Canis lupus familiaris: one gene and its partner. The protein of the gene in region 1 purifies or fractionates together with the protein of each later gene. This does not show direct contact. Links are inferred from orthologs where the notes say so. Each region holds a gene or a part of one and is shown in the gene's direction. Other genes may lie near its edges. The genes, in order: EIF3D and EIF3H.

What was found.
Region 2: the proteins of EIF3D (region 1) and EIF3H purify together in Homo sapiens (affinity purification with mass spectrometry; 10 studies listed by BioGRID and IntAct, counting the BioPlex papers as one, with this or other methods). This does not show direct contact. The link is inferred for Canis lupus familiaris from reciprocal best matches to the Homo sapiens genes EIF3D and EIF3H.

The regions. Positions count from the first base shown.
Region 1 is NC_049231.1:28,882,401-28,898,178, forward strand, and holds the start of EIF3D (eukaryotic translation initiation factor 3 subunit D), read left to right. Parts: upstream 1-8,756; 5' UTR 8,757-8,907; intron 8,908-11,290; 5' UTR 11,291-11,300; coding exon 11,301-11,423; intron 11,424-11,721; coding exon 11,722-11,767; intron 11,768-12,610; coding exon 12,611-12,747; intron 12,748-13,368; exon of another isoform or gene 13,369-13,417; coding exon 13,418-13,503; exon of another isoform or gene 13,504-14,109; coding exon 14,110-14,182; exon of another isoform or gene 14,183-15,101; coding exon 15,102-15,214; exon of another isoform or gene 15,215-15,778. UniProt on the Homo sapiens protein: mRNA cap-binding component of the eukaryotic translation initiation factor 3 (eIF-3) complex, a complex required for several steps in the initiation of protein synthesis of a specialized repertoire of mRNAs.
Region 2 is NC_049234.1:16,474,925-16,489,909, reverse strand, and holds the end of EIF3H (eukaryotic translation initiation factor 3 subunit H), read left to right. Parts: intron 1-6,666; coding exon 6,667-6,787; intron 6,788-8,956; coding exon 8,957-9,089; intron 9,090-10,501; coding exon 10,502-10,599; 3' UTR 10,600-10,731; downstream 10,732-14,985.

The DNA.
Region 1 (15,778 bases):
CTCCAGGTTTTCTATTTTTAAAAATTTGCTGGGGCAACAAGGCTCTTCGGAGTGAGCTGGTGACTCAAAGGCTTCCCTTCCTCCCAGCACTCCCTCCAACAGATGATAAAATGCTGTGGTTCTATGGGAGTCAGCCTGGGCCACTATGGTCCCCACTCTCAGTCTTTCTCATCTGTAAAATGGGACAGTGGTCTCGCATTGATGCTGAGTCAGCAAAGTTTGGCATGCATTCCCAATTCTTCATCTGAAACCCCTGGGACTCGATGTGTTTGATTAACCTAGAGCTCTTTGCATTTTTCATGAAAGGTTTATAGAGAGTCTACCATATATTATGGAATATGCCCAGAGAGCTCTGGGATGTATTAAGGGTACTCCATAAACCCTTCAATTTTTATGCAACAAAATGTATAAATAGTCATAGTAGGGGGGATAGGATAAAGGTTATAAGTAACATCATGTCCAATTCATATCAGGTTTGTCACCAAGTGCTTGCGCCAATCTCATGAGGAAACTTTTGGTTTTCAGAGTTTTGGATTTAGGGATTGTATTTGAATGCCAGCTTTGGTTTCAGGTGCACCTGGATTACCATTAATTGCACCTGTACCAGCTGGCTGACCTTGGGCAAGACACCGCCTCACTGTATCTCAGTTTTCTCACCTAGAAAATAGGGCAATGATCCCTGTGGAGGTTCATGGAAGCCACATAAGCAGGTGCAGTTTGCTAACCAGGCTGACAGGTTACCACCAGGAGACCTTGGTGAATCCATCAGAACAGTTTGGGGTCTATCTGCACACAAGGCAGGGGCAGACTCCCTGAAACCAATCTCCTAAGGCTGCCATATAAACAGATGATCCATCTATTAACAGAGAGCACGAGAAATACAACCATCAGCTGGACAGGAAGCTTTTGTTGGCCTGACCAGCATATACTGCCCTGCGATGAAAGCTCTGTGAGGATTCACGGTCTCACAGGGCTGCTGGGTGGGAGGGAGTCAGAACAAGGGACGGCATTATTCTGAAGAAGCATTTCTCAGCAGAGGCAGCTTGAGAGGACAGCCTCGCCCAGGAAGTGAGGATGCTGTGCCAGCCAGTGCAGCCAAGAACCCGCTCCCCAGACAAGGCCAGCCTCTGGCTCTGTGACTCTCCCATTCCCATGTTTCCATTCACTCCTCCATTCCCCGTGAGCAGGTTTCCCTTAGTAAACCATGATCACAGCCAGCCCTCCTCCCAGCCTGACCTCCTCAGAAACTCGGGTATTTGATGTGTCCCAAACTCTTTGGTCACACATTTGCTGACAACCAACTGGTGACTCTTAGGAAAGGCCAGTTTGAGGCACCAGGGTGTCAGACTCTTGGTTTCAGCTTGGGTTGTAATCTCAGGGTCGTAAGATCGAGCCCCATGGTGGGCTCAGTGTGGAATCCACTTGGGACTCTCTCTCTCCCTCTGCCCCTCCCCACTGAGCAAACAATCTCTCTTCTCTCTCAAAATAAATACATAAATCTTACCCAAAAGGGAGGAGGGGAGAAAAGGCAAGGCAAGGCAAGACCAGACCAGCTTACATTTGTGGCAGATTTTAGGCACCTAAAATGGTCACAACAATCTCTCTCTCCACGTACTCTTCTAGAACCTTGTGCCTTGACTCTGGGCAGGCCCGTTACTCACTAGTCACCAAGAGAAGGGGTGGAATTGATGCTGCCTGATTCTGAGACTAGGTTGTAGAAGGCCGTGCCACCACTTCCAGCTTGTCAGCCAGAATCTTGCTCTGGAAATCTTCAGCCCCCATGGAAGTAGTCTGGCTGCCCTGAGGGCACCACACTGTGAGAAACCCCATCTCTCCGCATGGACTCGCCCCATAAGGAGACCCTGAGACTAGATGGAGAGAGAAAGAGAAGGTTCTGGCCAGCCCCCAGCTACTCCAACTCCACCCGCGTCCAACTAATATGGCCTGGAAGACCCCAGGCTACCAGCCAACTCTTTCCCAAATTCTGAAATCATAGAAACCAACAGAGATAATGAAAGGATTATTGTTGTTTTAAGCTGCCAAATTTTGGAAGGATGTGTTGAACAGGAATAGATAACCAGAACAGAGGGCAATTTTATTTCCCTCCTGCCTAGGGAGACCAAACTCCCAGTTGGCATGGAGCTGTCCCAATTTATACCTTTTGTCTGGTATAATTCTTGATAGTGACCCCTTTGTCTCCCCAAAGTGCCCCAATTTGGATGGTAAATTATATGTTCAAGTTCTTGAGCATACCCTAGATCCTAACAACGCTTTGCCTCACAGTCTAGAATAATCAAAATACATGAGATGCCTCGCATGTAGGCAGCATTCAAAGAGATGGATGCTTGCTTTTTTGTCCCTTCCCCTTCTCCCTTTTTGTTCTGTCTGAATGCTCAGCAGTTTTGCCAAGGGATGTCGTCAGGCGCAGCCCCCTCGCAAGCTCCAGAGTGCCTTCCTCTAATATACGTGCCTCAGTGAAAACAGGGCACCTGCTACACAAACACAGCTTCAAGACAAGCCCAGAGTTCCCCCTTTTCACCAGATTCCTGTCACTAAGCCCCTCCCATGGGGAAATTCTGGAGCTGCCACTGATATTCAGGATAGTAAGGGTCTGAATAAATTAGAGATAGCAGAGGCAAGAGACAGAGGAGGAGAGGGAGAAAAAGAGCCTTCCAAACCTCAGGAAAGGCCTTCCCCTCCGCACCCCACACTGTAAGGGAGGGGAGCGTTTGAATCCACAAAATTGCTCTCAAATCCTGTCTCAGTCTTATTCACTGGGCGATGGGCCCAACTGGCCTGAGCCTGCTTCTCCTCCCCCACCCCGCCCCGCATAAATGGGAGGGTTGATGCCTGTTTCAGAGAACTCTCCGAAAGAATCAAAGAGATTATTAATGATATAAAGCACTCAAAAATGCTACTTCTCTTTTGAAGGTAGTAGAGGTTCCTGTTAGAAAATGCCTTTACCTTATCTGGAAGGGACACGCCAGAATGGTACAAAAGTCTGGTCAGAAAACGGAAATAACGATGCCTCACCTTTAGAGACATGAAGCGAGAGGATGTTAATGGAGGGCCTGGCAGTCACCTGTGGCTCTTTTTTCAATTTAGAAATTGCTTTGTAGTCACTGACTCAGCTAGACCTGCAGCTATTTGAAAACAAGAATCTTACTATCAGTCATTACACATATAGGGCCCTGCTGCAGAGGGGGGCTCTCAATGATACTCATTGAATGAATGATCACAGACCAATTTTTGATCCTCTTATCCACTAACTTAGTCAACCAATACTAATTAGGGACCTACTCTACGTCAAGCACTGTTCTAACAAATGGGAATGCAAGCCCTATCGCCACTCCCTCAGGGTGCTCCATGTGATGGAAGAGACATGTGGATCAAATATGTATGCACATAATCATTTAATTACCATTGCTACAAGTGTTCAGAGGAGGAAGCACAGGGAGTGGAAGGGAAGGTGTCCCCCAGGAAGTGCCTTTTAACCAAGAGCTAAAAAATACTCAAAGAATAGAGATGACTTCCATGCAGAGATGATAGCTTTTGGGGAATTCTTGAGGAAGAAAGAGTCATAGAACCCAGGCACTGAAAAGAATGTGGGCCATCAACTCAATGAAGATGCCCAAGCCAGCAGCTGAGAAGTAGCTCATCCACCCTGGCAGACAGCAAGCTCCAAGAAGATGAGGGGTGCCTGGACAGAGAGGTCAGAAGAGGGAGAATGTGTTCATGTGAAGGGGGGTGTAGAGAGGGAAGTTAAGTCTCCAAAAAGGAAGGTAGGTAGAAACCAAGCAGGAGGGACACCTGGCTTGGTCAGTTAGGCATCTGCCTTCAGCTCAGGTCATGATCTCAGAACCTGGAATTGAGCCCTCCATCAGGCTCCCTGCTCAGTAGGGAGCCCACTTCTTCCTTTGCCCCTCACCCTGATTGTGCTCTCTCTCTCATAAATGAATAAAATCTTTTAAAAATAAAAAGAGAGAAGAAAGAAACCAAGCAGGAATCAGAGAACCCAGAAGAGGGGAGGAGTGATTCCAGAAGTGGCCATTTTGTTAGAATTCTGACAAAATTCCCCAATGTGGGGAAATGAGGACCAAGTGGCACTTGAAGTGACACCAAGAAATAGACAAAGGAATTGGAAATGTTTACCGAAAAGTCCATAGAGGGTAAAGTGGCATCAGAGAATGAGTTCCCCAGCACTGGGCACATCCAAGCAGACGTAACACAACCAGCTAGACAGGTGTGACAAGGAGATGCCTGTCTAAAGTGAAGGCTGGACTGGATGGATGATTAAGGAAATCTCTTGAAGTCCCTGGCACACAAAAATTTGTCCTTCCCTCCTCAGAAGGCCACATAAGGGAAGAGAAGGGTTCTGTTCCCTCTTCCAGAATGCTGGTCTCCAGGATCTCCCAGCTCACTCCCTCATACTCTCCAGTGTCTGCTCAAAAGTCACCTCCCCAGAGGGGCCTCCCTGAACTCCCCCCTTATAAGTGCCACACCCCAGACCATTCTCTAACACAGAGACCTGGTGCAGCATCTTTACCTACGTCTCACATCTCTGTACATCTGCCCAATGTCTACCTTCCCCTCCTTCAGAGCAAGACCCTCGTGCACTTTGCTCCCTGCTGTGTCCCACACCTAGCCTATACTGGGCACATGGAAGGTGCTCCACAAATGTCTGTTGAATGAGTAAATAAGATCCCAGCTTTGCCTTTCACTAGCTGTGTGACCTTGTGTTAGTGACGTTACCTCTCTGAGCCTCACTGGACCAACTGTAAAATTTTTATTAAGATATTGTAGTTGTGGGGATCCCTGGGTAGCTCAGCGGTTTGGCACCTGCCTTCAGCCCAGGGCGTGATCCTGGAGTCCCGGGATCAAGTCCTGTGTTGGACTCCTTGCATGGAACCTGCTTCTCCCTCTGCCTGTGTCTCTGCCTCTCTCTCTCTCTCTCTCATGAGTGAATAAATAAAATCTTTTAAAAAAAAGAAAAAGATATTGTAGTCATGAGGTTAAGGACCTTGTCACAAATTGAAAGACTGATGATAGCCATTGTTGATAATGACAAATCAGTCATTCAATTGCCCAAAGGCAGTGTTTGTGCCTCTCCAAAGTGGGAAGACACTGTGAAATCTTTTGAGAAATGGGGATCTGCCCTCAAACCTACATTTTTCTGGCAAGAATGTTAAGGTTTTTAATTTTACAGCCTCTAAAGGCAATATCCAGAGGCGCTGGATTCATTAAGCATTTCCTGGGCATGCTCTGCGTACCAGGCACTGTGCTCATGAAACAATGCAAATTCAGGGTCTGGATTATCAGAGGTGGGGGACACAGGTACCAGAACCAGACATGTTGTAAGCACAGCAATGGAGGGCTCCACCAAGTGCTGTGGACACACAGAGGAAAGGACCTGTCCACAGAGGTCACTTGTGTATCCAGCAAACATCTTCAAGCACCAATGGTGTGGTAATTCTAGATGCTGAGGATACAACAGTGAACAAAGCATGTAAGATCCCACCTTTTATGAGGCTTCCATTTCTAATAAGGAGATAAAAAAAACAAACAAGATAATTTTTTACAAGACAAATGTTAGTCATCCAGCAAAACACCAACACAGAAGCAAAAAGCAGCAGGAGCCACGTGGCCTCCTCAGTTCAAAACCCCAGTTTCACAATATACTGTTCGGCCTAGAGAACTCCTCCCTATCTTCATCTGCAAAACGGGAATAGTAGGCTTGACCTCACACAGCTGTGGTGAGAATTAAATAAGTTAATGTAAATCCCTGGAATAGTGCCAGGCATGTGATAGTGAGAAAGTAAATAAGCACAGCATGAGGCTACTGGGAGGAGTGGTCAGGAAATCTCTGATGAAGACATGAGTGCATGAAGATCTAGGGGAGATGCATTCTGGGCACCAGAGGACCACAGGTAAAAAGGTCTCTGGGCAGTAATGAACCTGGGTATGACCCAGAAAGAGAACACTGCCAATGAGAAGCTGCCATTTCGAAATTTGCAGGCCACAGAACAGAGTGCAGGATTTTATCCCAGGCTAGAGGTAAGCTACTAAACCGTTTTGAAGGAGGAAGATGGCAGGTCGGGCACACTCTGATTTAATGCAAAGAAGGGTCATCCCAGCTACATGTGGACAGTGGGAAAGACAGAGAAGCAGCAGAGGTGTGGGCTGAGAAGAGGAATGAAGGCAAGATCTCCAACCCAAAGCCATAGGCCCACTACTGAGAATGAGACAGGACACTCCAAATCCTTCTCCATCTGGGGAGACGTCTGGGCCAAAATATGGGAAAGATGATTAAACTCTGACACAAGGGAGAGACTGCAGCAGATGGCCTGTGAACCCACAGTAAAAAAAAAAAAAAAGAAAGACATGTTCTAAGCAATTGAGCAAAAATACATCTCCCCTTACATTTTAAAACACCTTACAATTAATATTGATCTTAATTTCACTAATGTTGAGTGCTTGTTTATGTGCCCAGGCTAATGTGATAAATTTCTCATTCAATTCTCATAAAATCCCCATGCATTCACTCAACAATTCGATAAGTCTGTATTACTGGCCCTACTCTAGGCAAGACAGACAAAGGCTCTATTCGTATGGAGTTTATACTCTAGAGGCAGAGACAAAACCTAAACAAGAAAACAAAAATATTTCAGGGGCACCTGGGTGGCTCAGTCAGTGAAGCATCTGCCTCCAGCTCAGGTCATGATCCCAGAGTCCTGAGATGGAGCCCCACATCAGGCTCCCTGCTCAGTGGGGAGTCTGCTTCTCTCTCTCCCTCTGCACCCCCTACCTCCCCCACCCCCCGCTCATGCTCTCTCTCAAATAAATAAAATCTTTTAAGAAAATTTTTCAGAGCATGATGAGAACTACGAAGGAAATGGAGCAGAGTAAGAGGGTGAGGAGGGACGCAGGGAGGAACAGCCTCCTTAGAAATGGTGGTCAGAGAAGATCTCGTTCACGGAGGAGAGAACTCTTGGAACAGAGATGTAAATGATGGGACAAGGCAGCTACAGTTAAATCTGGGAAAGAGTGTTCCATGCAGGCGGCACAGCCACTGCCGAGGCCCTGCTGAGCTAGATATGAAGTTGATGTACTTGAGGCAGAGAAAAAATGAGCAGGGTGGCTACAGCACATGGAAAGGCAGGTATAGGGGCACCAGGGTTGTACAGTTGGTTAAGTACCTCTTGGTTTCAGCTCAGGTTGTGATTTCAAGTCGTGAGACGGAGCCCCTGTGGAGCTCTGCCCTCAGTGTGGAGTCGGCTTGAGATTCTCTCTCCCTCTTTCCCTACCCCCACCCCTGCTTCACTTGCTATCAAATAAGTAAATCTTAAAAAAAAAAAAAAAAAAAAAAAAAAAAAAGGATATAAAGTTGAAAGGTAGCCAGGGACCAGACAGGCCACAGGAGGACACTCATGTTTCACTCTGAGCGCGTAACAGGAAGCTGCTAGGGGACTGTCAACAGATCGCTTTGGGTACCACTGGGGGAGGAACCTAGAGGAGCAAGAGTGGACACGCGGAGTCCAAGCAGGACGCTGGTGCTGGTGGGGGAGGTGCCAGCGTTCAAGATGTATTTTGAAAGCAGAACAAAGAGCAGCCCCGGGTTAAGGACTGAATGTGGGAATACGGCGGAAAGGGAAAAGGAACTACCAGCGATAACTACACGGCTTTGCACCGAGCACCATTAAGTGGGTGCCATCAACAAAAATTAGGAAAATTGGAAACTGAGCAGGTTGGGAGACAATCTGTGGAAACAAGAGTACCCAGTAACATTTTCATTTTGCAGATGAGTAAACAGCTTGAGAGAGATGGAATAACCTGTGGGTGTCATTTACTATTTTCACACGAACTTATTTTTACCCTCATAGGGCCCCAATATTATTTATTATCTCCAGTCTGCAGATAAGAAAACTGAGGCCCGGAGAGGTGAAGCCTGCACAGCTAGTGAGTGGCAGAGCCGAGCAGGAAATCGGATCTAAGGGATTTATTTTCCAATGAAGAGGTCAGGCTGGAAGACTGGTAAGGAACCCTAGCCGGCCGGATAGCAAAGGACCTGCGGCTGGAATAAAAACACATCCTCGGATTGGATTCTCTTTCGGTGGTTTTGAAATCGCCGACTAGGATTCCAGGAGAAATTCGAGGCCGGTAGTCGCAGACGGGACAGCGAGCACATCACTGCGCACTTGAGTCCCCACCGCTACCGAACACGCAAGGTTCCCGGCCTCCAGCCGGACGACGCGGTGGCACAATCCCGGGCGCGAGCCCGGGGGCCGCATCCTCCACGTCAGCGGCGGACGTCGTCGTGCGCGGAGTCCGACCCCGGAGGGCGGCCCGCCTGCATTCGCGGCCCGGGCTCCCTGGGACCCCTCCGCCCTCTGGGCCTCGACCTGGCCCCTGCTGTGGGACCCGAGCCCCACGAACGGCTGGAAAAGGCCGGAGCCCCGGTCCCCGCGGACACCGAGGCGCCGGAGCGTCGGGGAAGCACAGGGACGCGGAGCTGCCCTCGCGCTCCCCGCCTCCTGCCTCCAGGGCACGGCCGCCACGTTTCAAAAACTCGGGACGCCCTCTCGGGGCGCCGCCGGACGCGCCCGTGACGTAACTGTAAACACACCTCCGGCGTCTGGGCTCCTCGGAGACCGTAAGGCCACCTCGCAGAGAACAGTGACGAACTTCCGGGCGTGCGACGGAGACCGTCGCTTTACGACCCGTGCGTTCCGCGGTCGACTCCGGAGGAAGCTAGGGGGCAGTTTACGACAGCGCCGATGGTGTTTGCGGCGCCGGCCGGTGCGCGCGCATCTTTCCTCCCTTTTTACCGGGTTCCTCGGAGGGCACCCGGGTGCGCGGTCTCCGGCCCGGACCATCTCTCGCCATCGGGGCCGGCGGAGGCCTTTACAGGTGAGAGGAGTGTTCCGTAGGGCTCCGCGGGTCTCTGGAGCCGGCTTGCGCTGGGCCCGGCCTTCGGAGGGGAGGCCTCCCGGAAGAGACCCCCGTACCCCGCGGCCGCCGCTGCTCCTCCGCTGGGCGGGGCAGGACTCCGCCTTCGGGGACCCCGGGGCCCGACACACTTAGGGATGCGGGGCGCGGCCTTGAGGGTGGGGTCCCCCGGTCTTAGGCGCCGCTTTGCGGCCACGGCCTGAGCGTCTTTGACAGTATCTCTTAGCGCCGTTGGGTCTCCGGGCCTTCAGAGGGGCCTGCGGCTCGCTGAGTTTGTGTGAAGGTTATGGGGGGCTCCAGGCTGAGCAGGGCTCGACCTGCTCCCAGGGGTTCCCAGCCCAAAGGTTCTTCCCTTTTCTGCGAAATGGACGGCGGTGGCGGCGCAGGTCTGGTCTGATCTGAGGCGGTCTCCCCCCGGGGCCGGTGGCTTCTGATCTGTAGTGGCCTGCCCGCCGAGCGCCCCCGCCGAGCGCCCCCGCCGAGGCCCGGAGGGGCCTCCCCCGCCCCTGTAGCCGGTACGGCTGTCACCGGCGCACCTCACCGGCTGTTTCTGCTTCTGGTTCCATCCTGCTCACTTTTACTTTACACGCGTTGAAGCCAAGGGACTTCCTCCCACCCGCTGGAAAATGCATGCCAAGCCTTGGGTCTGTTTCCTTCGTCAACTGTGGCAGAACAGCCAGATTTTTTAAATATCATTAGTGTGTTACTAGGTACCGCCTAAAGCCCCGTTTCTTCTCGGGCTGCTCCCCAGCTATAACAACGGGAAGAATGCTGGGCTTAAGACAGACAACCCTGGAAATCAACTGTGTTTTGAAGCAGTGGGCAGATGGACAACCTAATTGGCCGAGCTGCAAAATTTTAATCTCCAAAAAGGGCGTGTGGGTGTGGTTAGTGCTGTTAACTTCTTTAGCATAGTGTCTGACACATCGTAGGAGCTCAGTAAATACTCATTTTAACATGAATCGTCGTGAAACTGCCACCCCTCTTCTCAGTCCTCTTCCCCTAGTATAGCTTAAGCTGAGAATCGGAGGAGGGAGCTCTCAGGAACGTTCCCTGTTGCTCTGATTCCCGGTGTCGCTTCTGTAGGAAGCCTGACTCTCCCCAGTATGGGACACGGAGGAGAACTTACTACAGTCGCTGTACCTGTTCCCTGTGGTTACTCTCCAGGCTCCCGAAATGAATTTTCCTCTGGGAACTCAACCTGAGGATTACGACAGATGGATGATAAGTGCATAGGTCTTTGATCGGAACTGTCAGGCAAAGATCTGTTCTGTAGCCCGTGGCTTTTACTCACTTGGGAGGAGCTATAGCATTACGCAGAGTGTGGGTTCCAGCCAGACTGCTTTTTTCAATTTTTTCATCAACTAGCATTGCAAATTTGAACGATTTCTTAGCTTCTGTGTGTGCCTCAGTTTTCTTATCTGAAAAGTGGGGATGACGCTAGCCGCTCCCTCAGGATTGTTGGGGGCATTCACTGACTTTATGCAGGGTAGATAAGAACATTAACTGGTACTGATAATATCTACAAACATGTGATGTATGGCCACTTTTATGACCTAGAGTTTATGGTAACCTCAGCTTTCTGACCAGCTTTTAACTTGGCTCTGTGTCCACTTGTTCTGCATAAGGATTTATATTGATAGAAAATTAGAAAAACAAGAAAGAAAAGTTAGATATCAGGATATATTTCTGGACTCCTTTTTTTCTCAGCACTCTGCATGTAAATATATTTTTGCAAGTCCCAATTGTAATTGTGTGGCATTTTAAAATGAAACTATTCTCCTACATGTAACTATCAAGGCCTTCACAATGATCTTGTAGGGTCTTGATTTATTTTACAGATGAAAAGACAAGGCTTGAGGAAGCTACAAATTGTATACCTTGGCAGAGGTGTTTCTGAGAACTAGAATGAGGTTATTACACTTGAGACAAGGTTACTCATTCCATCAAATCTAAGACACCACTCTGAGACAAGGTTACTCATTCCATCAAATCTAAGACACCACTCGGTTTAAAAAGCACTACTATGTTATGTAGCACTAAAAAAGAACACCTGCCAATTAAGACAGCCTATCAAGCATGAGATGCAGCCTCATTTCAAAGACATTATAGTGGGAAAAGCGGGTGTCACAGAATCAATGCAATATGGTAATTTGGTTTTGTTAGTGGTCTTCTAAGTATTTCCAATATTATCTATAGGAAAATAGTAGAGCTCAACAGTTGGGTGTTCCATATTGTGTGTTGCTTTTTGAATTTTATCATTGTGTCTTAGATTACCTCAGTAGGCTTTTTGTGTTTGGAGGCCTTTCTTCGTGAAGCTACTCACATTATTTGTATTTTTAAGGTTTTAGAAGATGGCAAAGTTCATGACACCCGTGATCCAGGACAACCCATCAGGCTGGGGTCCATGTGCGGTGCCCGAGCAGTTTCGGGATATGCCCTACCAGCCATTCAGCAAAGGAGATCGGCTAGGAAAGGTACTCACCTGTTAAAGTAAATCTTTTAAGCTATAGCTGCTACTCTCTGTTAGTTAATTCCAATTGTATTATCTCAAAAGCATAACTTGTGAGTTCCTTATAGGGACACCAGCTGGGGAAGGTTCTCACATCTGGGTACTTGCAGTCATCATTGGAAAGCTGGGCACTTACAAAGGCCTTGGGAGCCGGTCCTTCTTACATTGTTCCCAGACTATGTCTTCACTTACAGGGGTTTCTGGGTTAGGAGAAGCATGTCTGATTGACCTGTGTGCTCTTTCTTCTCTTGTTGCTTTTACAGGTTGCAGACTGGACAGGTGCCACATACCAAGATAAGAGGTACACGAGTAAGTGTTCAACTGACTACCCAGATCAGGGCCTTGGGAGGATTGTTACTTTTTCTAGTAACCTCCATCCAAAAGCATTCTAGAACAGGAACAAAATGCTAATGATAATTCATGGTTTTTAAGGGCATAGTCTGAACTGTAGACAATACCTACTTTTTTTTTTTAATGGACTCCAAACTTAGATTGTTCATTAAAGAGGTTTAATCTGTTATAGTGGAATTTTTTTCCTCCCACTTTTAGGGAGCCATGAACCTTTTCACAGATCCTTGAACTCATTCCCTTTTTGCACTCCAGTGCCTGGGAGTTACTGAACCTTTGAAGCCAATCAGTAGACTCCAGATTTTAAGATCCTGATGGACTAAATGGGTTATTGTTTGTTTTTCTGTGCCAGTTGAGATTGTTGGAAGTGGCTAGTTGGAATACTAAGTTAAGTTTATCAGGATTGAGGTCAACAGTAAAGTATATCATAACCCATTAGGCAGTTGATGCAGATAATTGCATATTTGCATTATGCATGCCACATATTTGTCCCTTCTGGGAGAGTAAATCTTAACTCCTGTTCTTACAGAATAAGGCAGGGTGTGAAATGGGCTTGAGGTCCTCAGACTCTGTTTTGACTCAAAAAGTTCTTTAGACCAGAACTGTTCAAACTTGAATGTGCACATGAATCTCCTGGGATCTTCTTAAGAGGCTGATTCTGATTGAGTGGATCTGGGGCGAGTCCATATGCATGCGCTTCTGCGAAGGATCCTGAGTGCATGCTTGAAGTAGCAGGGCTTTACACCAGCATGTGTGTAAAGTCTGTAGGTGGTAGCTGTTACACATCACTGCCTTTGCTTACAGATAAGTACTCCTCTCAGTTTGGTGGTGGAAGTCAGTATGCTTATTTCCATGAAGAGGATGAAACTAGTTTCCAACTGGTGGACACAGCACGCACACAGAAGACTGCCTACCAGCGGAATCGGATGCGATTTGCACAGGTAGGCCAAGGGCCAGCAATCTTACCATCTTGGAGCCATTACCATTGGTTGCCACCTTGTGCATACTGGTGAGAGGAAAGTGCATTCTCATAGGTCTTCCAGTGACTTTCAAGTAGCTGACCAGTGACACGTTGTGCTAAAGTAAACTTACACTGGGTCCAAAGATGCATTTTTCTTAAAGGTTTTATTTATTTGAGAGAAAGAGCATGAGCAGGGGTGTGAGGGGGTAGGGCAGAGGGAGAAACAGGGCTGCCCACTGAGCACAGCCCAACCCAGGACTTGATCCCAGGACCCTGAGATCATGACCTGAGCCAAAGGCAGGTGCTTAACCAAATGAACCACCCTGGCATTCAGATAGTTTCGGTTTTTGTTGCCCAGTGGCTAGGGCATCATGCCTTTGTGCTAAGAGAAGGTGTTTATGTCACGTAGAAAGGGGCCTGTTGCCTCATTTGATTGCCGTGTGCAGGTTTTATTAAGTAGAAGGTCCAGTCGGGCTGCATCTTACTACGTAAAGAGGCAAACTGTAACTCTAATAAAAGCCCATAAGCCTACTTCAATAAAAAACGTGCAAATGTATGTCTAGGCTAAACCCAAGCGCTCCCATTGAGCACTGCCTTTTGTCTGTCAAATCCCCAAGATTTTGACATGGGTGTTTTTTCTTAATTCCCAGCGGAACCTCCGCAGAGACAAAGATCGACGGAATATGTTGCAGTTCAACCTGCAGACCTTGCCTAAGAGTGCCAAGCAGAAAGAGAGGTGAGGTTTTCCATCCTCCTGGAACACGCTGTTCTTCAAGACTGACTGTACTCTGAAATCACTGAGCCAAAGCAGGAGGATGGTTGTCTTCCCCATAATTGCAAAAAAAACAAAACAAAACCGCCCTGATTCCAGGGAAACCACTGGTTTAGCCTGCCATCGTCCTCCAAGGGCTATTCTTGGCAGATAGAGGAGCTGGATGGTACTTGGCAGTGGCCATGCACACTGGTAGGAAATGAGGGCAAGTAAGTCAAGCCCTGGGGCTCACGTAGGCTCGGTTCTGCTGTGGCACAAGTCCAGGGGCATCCTTCACACTGGGCCCTGGGAGCTGTGTCATGCAGCAGCCCTGCCTCAGGCTGGGGCTGCCAGTAGACTCTGCAGGGGGGGCAAAGCCTACCTGCTCGGCACTGGGGAGCAGCGTACTTCTAGCACTCTAACATGGCATGCTTTCACTAGACTCTTTTTCACTAAGCCCCTATTTTCTTTGTTGCGAGAAGTCCTGATGTTGAGGACGAGGTTTAGTGGAAGAGAAGGGCAGCTTCTGCCTTTTGAGAAGCCATTGACTTAAAGGTCTGCACCCACAGCACAATCTTTTTACCTTTCTAGAGAGCGCATACGGCTGCAGAAAAAATTCCAGAAACAATTCGGAGTGAGGCAGAAGTGGGACCAGAAGTCACAGGTAGTGTATCCACACCAGAGTTTTCTCTAGAAACTCAATTTTGCTGGTTTATTTGGTTTTATGACCACTTTATTGAAACAAAATCCACATGCTATACAATCCACCTACTTAAAGCATACAAGTTCAGTGGTTTTTGGTACATTCACAGATACGGGCCAGTGTTACTGCAGCCAGTCTCGGAACATTCTCCTCATTCTGAAAAGAGCCCGGTACCCTTCAGCACTTAGTCCTTGTTCTCCTCAGCCCTTGGCTGTTACCAGTCCCTTCTGTCTCTGGATTTGTGCTTCTAGACATTTCACATAAACAGAATCCTAAACAGAATGTAGTCTTTTGTGTCTGGATCCTCCCACTGAGCATGTTTTCATAGTTCATCCACCTCGTGGTGTTTGTTCATGCCTCCTTACAGCCAAACTTGTATGGATATACCACGTTTTGTTATCGGTTCACTATGGTTTCCGCTTTTTGCTGTTATGAAAAATGTTGCCATAAGCATTCGTGTACAGGTGCTTATGTGGGCACTGTGAGGATAGAAGACACCCGTAAGCAAGAGAGAAGCTTCAGTGGCAGCAATTAAGATTTTGCTGGACACAATGCTCGTTGTGTGTTAATGTCCTGAGAGAAATAAAAAACTGCTAAAGCTTCTTTTCTGAAATACATACACGTGAAAGAGCTGGTGTTCCCTGGGTGCTGACATCACCTTCAAGTAAAAGTCCTGATTGATTTTTATTTCTTGACCCCTTCAGTCATTTTCTAGATCATAAACTCCAAAGAGTCAGGGATTCTTTTATAAAGCAGCCAACACATGGCAAATGTTCTGAAGAGATTTATTGACTAAAAACCCTTCACACTGTTAACATGCCTTTTGCTTGTGTTATGCCCTAGTTGTAATTCTTTTCCCTCCACTGGTTTTGCACTGCAGAAACCCCGAGACTCTTCAGTTGAAGTCCGTAGTGACTGGGAGGTAAAAGAAGAAATGGACTTTCCTCAGTTAATGAAGATGCGCTACTTGGAAGTATCAGAGCCACAGGACATGTAAGTGGCATCGTTTGCTACCTTCCGCCACGCACTTAGGTGTGTGGACCTGCTGCTGGTGACTTATGTTCCTAAGCCATAGTATTTCCAAAAGAGAATTTGAAGCTGCTAAGACATTGCACAAGATTAATGTGTTTTTAAAAATCAAGGCTAAGGCGAGACTAGGAGAAAGAAGTTCGCTGATGTTAAACTTGAGAGATTTCTTTCCACTTCCTGGCATCGTGAGCAAAAGAGAAATCAAGTTGTGTGGCTCTTTTGGCAAGAAGAGAGAGTAGTTTGTCAGAAGCAAAGCTTTTCCTGACATTACAAAGAGCTGTTTACCTCAAGTAGCAGATCAATGTCAGTGGGGACCGGAGTACCAGGTTAGAAGTCAGTGCATCTGGAGGCCTCTAGAACTACCTGTCTCTTCATCTTGGCCTCAGTCACCATGTCATTAAAATGTGGAGGTTGAGTCAATCAGTTTTGTTCATGCTGCTCTGTGGGGCCATATCCAGAGCTTAGGGGACGGGCCCTGAGTGAACTCTGAGAACTTGTCTTCTGTTCTCATCAAAGAAAAACCATTTC
Region 2 (14,985 bases), on another chromosome or scaffold:
AATTTACTACATGAAAGCGTTTGCTTATATAATTTATGCCTTCACCTTTTCCAAGTTTATTGAGCATACAAAACAAATATAGCCTCTTTGTGCTTTAAATTACCAATGAGCTGGTCCATAATGTCTGTTTGTCCAAAATAGCATTTTTCAAAAAATTTATTTAAAACATTTTATTTATTTATTTGAGAGAGAGAGCATGAGCGGACAGAGGGAATGGGAGGGCCTGATCCCAGGACCTTGGGACCATGACCCGAGCTGAAGGCAGACACTTAATGGACTAAGCCACCCAGTTGGCCCCAAAACAGCATTTTTAATAGCCAAGAAAACGTTCCCAGTTTGCCATAGCAACTAAGATCTAGAAAAATGTTTTATTATAGTTTTTATCTTCTGTATTTTAAGTGAAATTGAAAGAGGGGCCCCTTCTTTTTCGTGTGAAATTATTTAAAAGGTAAATTTGTGTTCTTGTTGGAAGGAAAAAAATAAGGCAAGCAACCCTGGAGCAGTGCCTATACTAATCGGCTATTGTATTCATCCAAACTGACAGTACTGTTTTATAAGAATGAAATATAACCTTTGTACATCTCCGATTTTAATTCTTTGAAGATTTATTTGTTTTAGAGAGAGAGCATGCAAGCAGGGGGATGGTTTGAGGGAGAGGGTGAGAGAGAGAATCTCAAGCAGACTCCCTATTGAGTACAGAGCCTAACATGGAGCTTGATCTCACGACCCTGAGATCATGACCTCAGCCGAAATCAAGAATTGGATGCTTAACTGACTGAGCCACCCAGGCACCCTTCAAATTTTAATTTCCAACTTTAATAGCATGATGATAATCAGGCCAGTCACCATAAGATTTTTTCTGAGAAACCATATCAGAAATCATGTCCAAACAGCTCCTCAAATATTTTGCTTGGTCTTGCTTTTCACAACCCATATGTGGATTCCACTTTTTTGGTTTACTTGATAAATTTGTTTTAGGCTGTGAATAAAACATACTACATTTCCTTTCATTTAATTTTTTTTTCTTTTTTAGTTTTAATTGTATTTGTTGGAAGTTCTAGCAATGGCTGTTTTCATAACAGCCTTTAAAAATTTTTAAAAATCTGCTACCCAAGTCTTCAGCTTTTCACACATGAAGAAATGATTCTGTTTTTATTTCTCCTTTAAACAAGTAAACTGAGGATGGGCATTATACATTAAGGATAAGGATAAATTGATCCTGCAACCAGAGCAGACTTCTCACTGCATGTCTTGGTTTCACATCTGTTTAAGTGAGCTGTTTTTCAGTTCTTTGTTTCCTTGACAATAAAAGAAAAGGGTATATTACTGAAACTCCTAGCAATAATTCCCTAGTTCAGTATTCTAGTTGAATTGGTACTAAAAAGATCCCCATAAAGTTGTTCTTGGTAATGGACCCGATTCCCTGTGAATGTTATCTGTGAAATAAGTATTATTTTTAATTATTTTTGTCCTTCAATATCTGTCATGCAAATTTTTGAGTGTTTCTTATTGGATATATTTCTGAAAAACATTGTAGTAATATAAATGTTAGGAAATGCTTAAAGGCCACATATCTGTGCTTGTCTTCTTTCAGTAATTGGATATATCTAACAATATATAATAATAGTACTTTATATCAAAGACATTTTTTGGTGGAGAGGGAAGGTCTATTCTAGTAGCACCTTTCTCATTGCTAAAATCAGTATAATCTGTCTCTAGGATTTAAGGTGTGGAAACAAATAATAGCTCTGTCTCTGTATCTGGCAGTAACTGTACTTTATGGTTTTCTCCAATGTCACTACCACCATCACTACCATCTCTGACCCACCACCCTAACTAATTGTGTAATGACAGCATTTCTTGCCAGCTCTCTGAGTCTCAGATCTTCTACTGGGGAAGTGAGAGTTGGTTCCCCCTTCCTTAAGGCTGTCCGATTCCCATCCATCCTGCCTTCTTGGGATCCAACTTGATTCTTCTATACTCTTTCCTCATATTTTCAGTTGCTATCTGTACTGGTTTTCTATTAGCTTTCTTGACTTGTTTTTCCCATTAAAAAAAATTGAAAATATTCAGCTCCTTAGAAAAACTGAAAGAGAATGAGCTGATGAACACACGTAAACCGTTTCCTAGATTCACCACTGATCCATCTTGCCATATTTGTACCTGCTCTTTGTCCATACACATAAGTACATGCTTTTTTTTCTGAACCATGTGACAGTGAATTGCTGACATGACTTTTAACCCCTGTTTGAACATACATCTCCCAAGAATAAGAATGTTTAAACTTAAATCTCCTTCATCTTAAAAAACAAAGTTACAAAAAGAGCACTTTTTGACCTCATGCTGTTATTATCCATTTCCTTTCATCTTTTGGTTCATAGTCACCTGTTTGTTTTTTAAGATCGATTTATTTATTGGAAAGAGAGCACAAGTAAGTATGGGGTGGGGGGTTGGAACAGAGGGAGAAGGAGAGAAAGTCTTAAGCAGACTCCTCCCCCATGCAAGGCTCCATCTCCTAACCCTGAGGTCATGACCTGAGTGGAAATCAAGAGTTGGGTGGCTAACTGAGCAGCCACTCAAGCGTCCTGTATTCACCTGTTTTTATAGTCAAACTTCTTAGTGTTCCTTTTCTTCTCTGTTGTCAGAGCTCTCACTAAAGTCACAAAGGGTGACTTTATCACTGTGTTACTACTGGGTGTTGTAGGCACTCAAACATTTAATGTGTTGATGACTCCTTCCTGAAATAACCTTTCTTTTTGGAGTCTGTGCAACTACAACTCTGGTCCTTCTCATTCTCCACAGTGAGACCTCTTTGCTCATCCCTAAATATCATTGTACCTCAGGGTCTGTCTTCCCATGTGTACATTCCTGGGGTGATTTCATCTTATTTCTGTGTCTTTTGCTACCTTTGGCCAGGGCCTCATTATTTCTAGTCCTGATTACTTTCGCAGTCTCCTAACTTCCCGCTTTTAACCTTTTCCTCTTTCATTGTAGTGATCTTGCTAAATGCAAATTGTATGATTATATTACTCCTTTGCTTAACTTTTTGACTGGTTCCCCACTGGCCTTAGAATAGAATCCAAACTTCTAGTCCCGGCGTCCAAGTCACTGTGCTGTGCCTGTTGTCTGCCTTAGTTTCACTGCTGTCTTTCTTCCCAGTCTCACCCTTCTGGGCATTTCTTCAGAGGCATTCTGATTTTCATGTCAGAGTGTCCGAACACACTGCCTTCACCCAGTAGCTGCAGTGTCCTTCCTGTTTTCCTTGTCTCCAGATCCTCTTCAAAAACTCAAAATTCGACTGTCAAATAATCTGGAAGGTCTCATCTGGTCCTACCAAACTATCTTTTCTGCTTCCATTCTGTTAGAGCAAAGACACCACTATGCTGTGTTTATCTGTTTGCATTCCTGTTTTCTCACTAGCATAGGTGGAGTTTAGCAATGTCTTACATAGCTTCAGTAGCTGGTAGAGTGACTGGCAAAGTTCATGTATACTCAGTAGTAGCTATTGAAAGAGTACATTTAGCGGACAGATTATTGTTAAATTTTAATCTTGAAGGAGTTTGGAACACAGTGTGGCTATGCATTCAGTGGACCTGGACATTTGAGTAGCTGCTTGATAGAAAAAATCATTTTAATTGCTCAGCTTGCAACATTGGCCCAGACACTTAATTAGAGGTGAGTTAAAATCAAGCTGTTAAAAAATTAGAAGGAAACAGAAACAAATACTTAATCTCATTTCCAAAGAAAAAGAAATATTTTAAAGTAAAAAAAAATGATTCACAAAATTAAAATGCAATTAAATGGAATAAGAAAAATATGAAAATTTAACTGGAAAAAAGCACTTTTTCAGAAAACTGAAACTTTTGAAAAAAGATTAAGTCATTAGGCCAAGTCACTGGGCCAAGGTTATGTAGATGCTGCCAGTCCTAGGATTTGAGGGTACATTTATTCACACACACACACACACACACACACAGCCAATCCTAGGCTTAGAGGTTACATTTATTCATATGCGTGCACATGTGTGGTGTGCCCCCCACCCCCCTTTCTGTGCTCTTTCTGCTATTTAAGAAGGAGCCAAAACTTGCTAATTTTCTCCAGGTTACAGATACAGTCCGTTTAGGATTCATAATGTAACTGGATTACTTTAATTTATTCCCAACATTCCCAGTCTGTTCCTTCCTAAACCTGCCCCTTCTCTGAAATGCCATAGCCAACCATTCAGCTGCTCAAGCCAGGAAACTGGGAGTCGCTCTTAATTTCTCTCACTTCTGCCCATTTTTCCCATGCTTACTGCTACCATCCTCATCTAAGCCATCACTGTTTTCTCTGTAATACCACAATAATTCTGTGTATGTATGAGTGTGTGTGTATAGTGTTTAAAGTAGAGATAAGGGCAGCTGCGGTGGCTCAGCGGTTTAGCGCCGCCTTCAACCCAGGATGTGATCTTGGAGACCCGAGATCAAGTCCCAGTCCCACGTTGGGCTCCCTGCATGGAGCCTGCTTCTCCCTCTGCCTGTGTCCCGCCCCCCCCCCCATGTGTCTCTCATGAATAAATAAATAAAATCTTGAAAGAAAATGAGTATAAAGTAGAGATAAAATTTACATAATGTAAAATCTACCATCTTAACCATTTTAAAGAGTATAATTCTGTGATTTTTAATATATTTACAGTGTCACCCGTCCTTCCTCCACAACCTGGCAGCCACTCATTACTTTCTGTTTCTACGGATTTGCCTATTCTGAATATTTCATATAAATGGAACCATACAGCAAGAGGCCTTTTGTATCTGGCTTCTTTTACTTAGTGTAATGTTTTTAAGTTTTATTTATATATCAGGACTTCATTCTTTTTATGACGTAATAGTATTCTGTTATATGGGCATACCACAATTTATCCATTCATCTTTTGATGACATTTGTTTTTTTTCCACTTTTTGACTATTATGAATAATACAATTTTTAACATACATGTCTGGTGTCTTGTGAGCAAATGTTTTCAGTTCTCTTGGGTATATCTACCTAGAAGTGGAATTGCCGTGTCGTATGGTAACCTAACTTTTTGAGAAACCACCAAACTATTTTTCATATAGTAGTTGTACCATTGTAAATTCATTCCCACCACAGTGTATGGGTGTTCTGGGTTCTCTATATCCTTGCCCGTACTCCACAATCAACTCTTAACTAATCTCCTGGTTTCTACTCTCCAGTCTGTTCTCTGCATAGTAGCCAGAGTGGTCATTAAAAATTTAAAAAATAATTTTTAAGGATATTATTTATTCATGAGAGACACACAGAGAGAGGCAGAGACATAGGCAGAGAGAGGAGCAGGCTCCCTGTAGGGAGCCCAGTGTGGGACTCGATCCCAGGACCCCAGGATCATGACCTGAGCCAAAGACAGATGCTCAACCACTGAGCCACCCAGATGCCCCAGTCATTTAAAAGTTTATGGCAAAATCTATTGCAACCATGTACAACTCAAGGACACCATTTATGTTGAAGTTGTGGAGTCTCGTTCACGCTAACTGTGGTTGGTGTATTTTGTAGTGCATCTAATGGCTTCCCAGCTGTGCTTGTCCTTTGTAACCTGTCCCTGTGCTCCAGACATGCCAGACCTCTTCCTTTTGTCTGCCTAGTTCTTGCCCTGCTCAGGCATTCGGCACTGATGCTGTCTTCTGCCTGAAATACTTTGTTGCTTGGTTGATTCCTTCTGATCGTTTGCTTTCAGCCTGTTCTCTCCTGAAGGGAAAGAGATATGGCAACCATACCATCTGTATGTCTTTTTTCTCCTTCCCACTCCCACTCATTTGTAAGCTCAGTGAAGATAGAGACCATGAATGTCTCATTCATGATTGTTTCTCTGTTTGCTAACACTGAAGTCAGAACATAATAGGTACTTTGTCCTTGTTTGAAATGAATGAGCAAATACTATTTGTTAACTAGTTATTTTAAGAATACATATATGTAGTAGCAGGCTTTACTCTGGTAGGAGATAGTTGCAAGCAGAAATTAATGAATATGGTGTTCAGAGTACTAACCAGGAGCATCATTTTCTAAGGTGATTTTGGTAAGTGAATTGTAATAGGAATTTCTGAAGAGGAAAAGAAGTGTGAATGACTGTACTACAGATTCTAGGAAGGGCAAGAAGAAAGGAGCCTTCTTTCTTCACTTGGCTTTCCAGAATAAATGCTATTGTTGTTCTTTTAGAACCTGCTAGATAGAGAAACCATGTACCAGAAGTCTTAGTGTGTTGGCATGGTCCTTCCTTTGCATGGCTCCTCATTTAAATGCTCTGGAGCACAGTTGGGGAGAGGGTTGTGCTAAGAAAAAAGGTGCAGGAGTACTGAGCTTAAGTTAAACATGGTTGTTCAGAAAATACACATTATAACCTGCTAGATACGTTTAACAGCCCCTACCCTGATATATGTATGCTCTGACAATAAGAAACTGAGCTATATCAGATACTCTGGTGGTTACAGTTGTGGGTTCAGTATGGAAAGTTTAATAACAAGCTGACTCAGATTCTTTCCTGTCCCCTGCTTTCATGCATATGTGTGCTCTCATTCATTTGGCAAATGACAGATCAATATAATATCTCAGGAGTGTTTAGAGCAGTGGCAGAGCTATAGCTTTAAAGTATGATATGTCGGTATATTTACCTTTCAGCAATCATTTGGGGAAGAATCTACAGTTGCTGATGGACAGAGTGGATGAAATGAGCCAAGATATAGTTAAATATAACACATACATGAGGAACACGAGTAAACAACAGCAGCAGAAACATCAGGTTAGTGTTATGGGAAAATTTGACAAACACAATTCATTTCTAAGTATGGTGCTTCAAGAGTTATCTTCAAAATGATCAAAATCATATTTGATAAAGCATTGACTATTAGCTAGTAACTCTACATCATATTTAATTTATTATCATATATTATTTCTAAGTTGTACTTAAAAATACCTGTTTTAAAGAGAGCCGATGTATTAAGCTCAGATTGTGATGGCAGTGTTATGCAAATAAGAGATACATTTATTGAGAAAATCAGAGGCAAAAGAGATTCTGGAGTGTCACAGCTCATTTCTTTACTAACTATAATTGGTTTGGTAGTGGCTCATTGCAGCATAGTTAGCAATCTTCAGTTCATTTGAAAAACTGAGCAATTGTGATTAAGAGCAAGCAATTTTGATAGGAAATAATAGACCAACTGCTGTGAAATAGATAGTATAATACAGATAAAAACCCCAGAATTATCTGAATATTCTCATATGCACATATATACTGCTGTGGCCATTTAACCTTTTCTTTATTCGTGTTGCTTGACGGTCACATGATTTTCACAGTTCCTGGAATATTGTTTTTAGACTGTATTGCTCTGCAGTGTTCTTATAGCATTTGATTCATAGATAAGTTGATTCCAGAATGTTCATCTGTGAAAGCATTTGTATATGATTACTGTGTGTTCATTAAAATATATGTTAAATTAGGTATTAACTATAGTTTTCAACACAACTACAACTTAAATGTCTCTGAGAATTTTATATTTTTAAAAATTGTTTTAATATCAATATTCATATATAGTAAAATTTGAAATACTTTGTTTCTGCTGCACTGAGGATTTAAAAGACATATGAATCTATAAAGTATATACTTTTTAACCGAAAAGAAAATGAGTGGTAAAGATGGCAATGGTAAAAAAAACTTATAAAGGATCAGGGGAAGACAAAAAAAAAAAAAAAACCCTAGCTTAATTCCATTCTCCTGCTGATTCTTCCCATAGGTAAAGGATGCAACCTGGAGTATCAAGACACTTGATTCTGGAACCAATCTTATAGATGTTTTCCAGACTTCCAGCATGTCTTAAAATTTTGCATTTGATGTTCATTTGTACCAGCACCATTCAGTACCCTTTTTAGATTTGTCAGGCTTTTACCCTCAAACCCTGTGATAAGTTTAGAAATCTTTGCAAAAAGGAGGGTATTCTCCTTCTTAAATTTTTTACCACCTTGGTTTCTCATTACCTGACCTTCTAAGGCTGCATGTGGGATATTTTCCCTCTGCTATTGTGAGCAACCCATAAGTATTAATCTCTTGATTATGATTTTCTCAGTAAGTTTGTACATACCTTTAGATGTATGCCCACCTTCTTAGATTTCTAGGAATCTAATTTGACAGTTTTTGAAACATTATCGAAGCTAATATTCATTCTTAGCTATAGAGCTAAAAGCACAGCTGATTAGTAGAAGTATTTACTATAATAACAATAGTGATGATGTTAACAGTATCAGCATCATCAGCATTATTGTTGTTTTGGTCAGTAGGGATAAAGTTGAAAAAGTTCCCCAGTGTGGTGATTGATTACTTTGTTACTACAGTTAAGATGAGTCATACTTATAATGCTGTCATTTACCCCATTTTCCTAAATGGTAAAAACACTGCCCTTCACTCACTAATCATGAGCTTCTTTGCCTTTAAGCCCTCATTTGCCACATAACCAGTTTGCTTTCTGCATGTCATTGGTTATAGACTCTTTTTTTTTTTTTTTAAAGATTTTATTTATTTATTCATGATAGTTACACAGAGAGAGAGAGAGAGGCAGAGACACAGGCAGAGGGAGAAGCAGGCTCCATGCACCAGGAGCCCGACGTGGGATTCGATCCCAGAGCCTCCAGGATCGCGCCCCGGGCCAAAGGCAGGCGCCAAACCGCTGCGCCACCCAGGGATCCCATGGTTATAGACTCTTCAGAGCTCAGAGTAACACAAGAGTTTCCGATAAAGAAATTTTCTTTGTTGTCATATTTATTAGCTTCTTAGAAGGAGGAGTTACCATGGATTACCATTTATAAAACTGAGCTTGGAATTCAGGGCAACGGGGTTTTTCTGATTGCATAACTGAGGAGGCTTTTTATCTCCTCGGGTAGAGAAAAATAACCAAATCATTTCTTCTCTGAATTTTAGTATCAGCAGCGTCGCCAGCAGGAGAATATGCAGCGCCAGAGTCGGGGAGAACCCCCACTGCCTGAGGAGGATCTGTCCAAACTTTTCAAACCACCTCAGCCTCCTGCCAGGATGGATTCTCTACTCATTGCAGGTATTGTTAGCCAGTGCAAACATGGCTAGTTTTCTCTTTTCCTTAGGAAGCAGAAGACAAGAAGAGATTTATAAACTGAAAAATACATCGTAAAAGCTAGTGTATTTAAAATGGTTGAATGATGAATTCGAATCTAGCACCTATAATTTCTGAAATTTAAGAATTTGTCAGTCTTTGTTATTTCTAAGGTCCTTTCAGTGCTTCTTCATTCTGTGTTTATCTAAACATTTTTGAGATGGCATTATAAACTTTCTAAAGTGGAAAGATTTTATTTGAGTCATCTTTCATAGAAACCAGCGGAAAATGTTTACGTTCCAAAGCAGAAGATCATTCAGCTCAAGCTGCTTGCTTTTCATGTTCCAGCCTAGCCCCACGTCTGCATGTGGGTGTTTGAACTGAATTGGATTTTCTGACTGCAGGAAAAGGATTTCCCTTACTTTGCCTTACATTGTAGCAACAGGAATGCAATTCTGGATGTGCTTTGGGAGTATCTACCATTTAATACTGCCTTTCAGTGGTGGAGTCTTATGTCCTATGTCAGGACTTGATTTTGCTCTTATTTATCTATAATAACCTTATTTCTGTATAAATGTTGCTAAATACTGTTTGATTCAATCAGCCGGTTGCCTGTGAGAGATTTATTAGAGTGAAAATCCTACTTAAAGAAAAGCTGATATTCCACAGTTTCTCAGTTCTGCTTATACATTTTCAGTGTGTGTAGGGGGGGTGGGGTCAGATTCCAGATTTTTAAAAACTTTCTAGAACACATATAAATTAAATTTGGGAAACCGAGGCACATTCCTTACTTAACATCCAGTTCAGGCGGAGTTGTATTATATATATAAAACACCTTGCATGAATGTTGTATCAGATTAGATAATGAGTTTTAAGACTTAAAGAGCAGTGACGGAGCCCTTTCTTCATGGGGACTCTGTTTCTGCTCTGTCTTGGATCAGAAAAGGAAACCTTAATATTTTCAGAGCACAGCCTGACAACTCCTGCACTTGTGCACATCTGGGTCAGGTGGGGCCATTTCGTTTGTAGTTCTGTGATTTCGCATCTCCTTTGTACCTGGCTGAGGAGAGTCCGTGCTGTTTTCCCACTTGTCTTAGTACAGCGTGTGTCCGATCTCCATGGTCACTGCCTTCTGAACAGCTAATGTGTATGTAACCACTGTAGTTTTTCTTCAGTCTTCACGTAACCAAGAGTGGAAGGTAGCTTCTTTTCAGAAGAACTTATGTTCTTTATTATAAAGGTGGGGACAAACAGAATTGATTCCTATAAACTCCTGATTGAAAACAAAATTTTGATGATTCTGTATTATGCTGATTTTCTTGCTTCCCTAGTGTTCTAAGTCATTTTGTAATTTGTGGAACATTATGACTTTCTTTCTCACTTTCCCCAATGCACAGGCCAGATTAACACTTACTGCCAGAACATCAAGGAGTTCACTGCCCAAAACTTGGGCAAACTCTTCATGGCCCAGGCTCTTCAGGAATACAACAACTGAGAAAAGGAAGTTTCCAGAAAAGGAGTTAACATGGACTCTTGAGATCACATTGGGGCAATCCTTGGAAGAAATACATTTGTGTATTGAAAAGTCTTTCTAGCTAATAATAAAATAAAAATAAAACAACCTTGACTGCTTGCTTATTTGATTTTACGTGTAGTATATATAGCTTGTTATTTTTGTTTTGCTTATGCTATTTATCTCCACAAGATAAAACAGATTTGACCAGAAGCTACATCAAGCTCAGAGCTAGGGGCTCCCTCACCTTTGCTGCTACATCTGAGGTGCCACATTTCAACATATAGTCCAGTGCTACTTGTCCTAACTCCTGACCCGGAGGCCCTGGCACCTACTGTGAATTCTTTACCTCATTGCTCCCAAAGTAGTGCCCCTAGAAGTCCAGGCTTTGTGAGCTTGCCCAGGCAGCCCTCATCCTCAGGCCTAGAATTGCTTGGCATGCTTCTCATTGCTCCACTTTTTCACTTCCATAGGTAGTGGTCAACCAGTCCCCATGTTGATAGGTCATTAATCAGGCATGATAATTTTTTTAAAAGTTTCATCCAAAAAAACATATTTTGTATGAAAATGAAATACATTCTGTGTATATATATTTTATTTAGAACTTGTTTATCTTTTCTATACGATGAAACATGCTGACAGCATATTTTCTAAGTGGGGAGAGAAGAATTGGAAAAACAGTACTACTTTGAGGGAGGGGGAACCTTTTAACTTAATATTTGAGAGATCATCAAGGGGGCACCTGAGTGGCTCAGTTGATTAACCATCTGCCTTTGGCCCAGGTCATGATCCTAGGGTCCTGGGATCCAGCCCTGCATTGGGCTCCCTGCTCACAGGGGAGTCCCCTTCTCCCTCTGCATCTTCCCCTGCTCGTATTCTTTCTTTATCGTTGGCTCTCTCACTCTCTCACTTTCAAATAAAATCTTGTTAAAAATAAAAAATCCTGCTATTTTAACACCAAAGTAAGTGAGATCTACAGTTGGTGGAAGTGTGTCTGTGAGGCTCTTATTTAGTGATTCTCACCTTGAAGATATGGCCCATAGGAAGACAAAGAATGGGTAAAGGATAAGAAGAGTTGAGAAACCCTTCCCCCCCCCCCCCATATTGTTTTGGAGGTACCCCTGGGGCTCCAGAATCAAACAGTTGGATTGAAACCTGACTCTTTTCCTCTAAGGTGTCCTTAAACTAGTTGCTTAGTCTCCCTGTGCCTCATTTTCCTCATCCAAATTAGATGAGAAAAGGAGACAAGTATATTACCCTATAGGGTGGGTGTGAGTGTTAAGTTTATTGAAGGGCAGCCTGGGTGGCTCAGCGGTTTAACGCTTGCCTTCAGCCGAGGTCATGATCCTGGAGACCTGGGATCGAGTCCTGCGTCGTGCTCTCTGCATGGAGCCTGCTTTTCCCTCTGCCTGTGTCTCTGCCTCTCTCTCTCTCTGCGTCTCATAAATAAAATTAAAAAAAAAAAAAAGTTTACTGAAGATTGGGGTAAAGCACCTAGAACAGTGGTTGTTATGTCACAGATGCCATAGAGTTTATGTTGAGAGTTAAATTCTTGGGATATTGGATTGTTAGCAGGGTTTTGCTTTTAAAAGGTCATGGCCTTTGAACATTGTAGAATTCAGGGACGCCTGGGTGGCTCAGCGGTTGGGCATCTGCCTTTGACTCAGGGCGTGATCCCGGAGCTCCAGGATCGAGTCCCACATTTGGGCTCCCTGCATGGAGCCTGCTTCTCCCTCTGCCTCTCTCTGTGTGTCTCTCATGAATAAATAAAATCTTTTAAAAAGAACATTGTAGAATTCAGATATTTGCTCACACAAGTTAATTTTTCTAGGATAAATTTCTAGAAATGGACTTAGTGGTCAGAGAGTCTGTAAAATTCTGAGGCTTTTTACCCGTATTGCCAAATTGCCTTCAAGAAAGGTTATACTGATTTGCTCTCCCACCCATGGTGCTTCCTTATATGAGTCACATATTTTGAGTGTGACTCTGTGTTACATAGATGAGATGTATTGATAAGCAAAACTGGTCATAGTCTCTGTCCTTGTGGATTATATACTCTTGGTTTATTTCCTTGCATTCTAATTCCCTACATTTGGAATTCTGTTGGGAGTTAAAACACCCTTGAGGTATCAAATAGCAAAATAGAAGGAAGGAAAATCAGCTCAAACATAATTACTGTTTTCCTCATGGTGTAAGATTAATTTAACAGGATTCAATTATATTTTTAAAGACGTGGTTACTTCCTAAATTCCGTATGACTATTTAGATACCCATAACTCAGAGTAATATGTGAGTACACACTTAATGGAATATTTTAGGTGTTTTGGGTTAGGAATTACTGTAGTGGGAAAAACTGTTTAGGGAAACATGTCAGTGGAAATTAAATCTGCACAGTATGTAGTGTTAGAGACTAGCTTCTGTTCGGCATTTGATTTGAGTGCTATATTCTGACATTTTTCAGGAACAGATACGTATGGTTCATCTTCTATAAATATTTGCAGTTTCTTCAAGTTAAAATGAGAAAAGCTCATAAACTGAGTATCAGGTCTAATAAATCATTCACTTACCCAAGAACAAAAAGACAGAAAAAACTAGCATGTTAATTTAATGGAAAATTAAATGTGACAAAGCGGAAAAGTAAAACATACTTGAAATTGACCCCATGATCATTGATCACCTTTTTAAGGTTCTAGAAGACATAGCATTATTCTTAATTGAAACTACCTGAGAGAATAAATTTTTAGCCTGCCCCGGATAACCTTATTTTTTAAATATTGAGGTAAACTAAAAACTATTTTCTGCATTTTTGGAAGCCTGGAAATGGAGGTGTAGTTATCTAATGTTTACTTAATCATTTTGGATTTTCAGATTTTAGTGTTTTTAGTGTTGTTCACACTATTTTTATTAACAGTCTTTGGAAAATCTAAGTGAAACCTTCACTTTCAAACCATGCTGGCATTGAACTCTGATGTAGATATTAGAGTCTTACGAAAGAATTATTTGAGTTTTATGGTAAACATTTCTCATTCATATTAAATATATGCCATTTGTCCATTATTTTCCCCTTTGTCTATGATAGACACAGAGAGAGACAGAGAGGCAGAGACACAGGAGGAGGGAGAAGCAGGCTCCATGCCGGGAGCCTGACGCGGTACTTAATCCCAGGACTCCAGAATAGCGCCCTGGGCCAAAGGCAGGCACTAAACTGCTAAGCCACCCAGGGATCCCCTAAAGATTTATGTATTTATTTGTTGATGATAGTCATTTTTCCCCCTTAATCTTCTCATTGGGCATCTTCTTCTGTGATAGTCCTATCATAGAAACGGGACAAGGATGTTTAAAGAGATAATACTAACGTGGGGTCAAGCCAAATGCCTGTAGGGCCTATTTTAGCAATGATTCAAGTGCCCATCTGCAGAGAGCCTGATCAAGCCATCAGTGTCTTGGACAGTGCTTTGGTCTGTCTCAACAGGATTCCTTCTGTTGTGGCAGCAGTTAGTAGATAAATAATGAGGGGGGAAATGAGGATCCCGAGTCCCTTAATGTTTACAAAGATGAGAAAAAAAAAAAGCAGTGGGTGGTTTCTGCATCCCATAGTCAAGATTGTGCAATGGAGGAGTTAGAGCTGGCTTATCGTGTGGTGACTTCCAAATTAGAGTGAACCTCTTTGCATGGATTGGAATAGGATTGATCTAACTCCAGATTACCTGAGACTGGGAGGGAGGGGCTGGGGAGCCAGAACTACTGGGAAATTCTAATTTGCTGGAGCAAACAGCTGTGGCCTAATGCCCATTGCCTTGAGCTTTTCTTTTTCTTTTTATGTAGAAAAAAGAGTGATATGTACTTTAAGCCTGATTGGCCCTATAGTAGAACCCATAATGGCTATACCAAAGCCTCAATAGTGATTTAAGAGAGAAAATCCATGGATGCAGAAATGCTTTCCAAGAGCTACTACCCCCAGCTTGGGCCAGTCCATAGGGGTTTGGTTCATCCTAGACAATTCTTTGATTCCCTGTATTCTTGTTCTCAGAACTCTCACAGAGTTAGGCCCTCACATCAATTGTCATATGATCTGTTTGTTAGAGGCACTGTTTGATTCCATGGGATTGATGTTGACATCAGTTGCATTTTCTTAGGACTGAGTTAGACAACCCATTTCAGTTCTTTGAAAAGATTGGATGTAGTAGCCTTAGAGTCTTACTAATTTAAGTATTCCCTGGAACCTTCATGAGTTGAAGGGATAGTAGATGGGATGCCAAATCTATTCTTGTAGTGGGACTTGCTGGAAGCCCTTTTCAGTAGGTTGCAGATACATCTTTGGTCTTCTATGTGTATCTTCCTTTCGAGAAAACACTAAGAAAATCATAA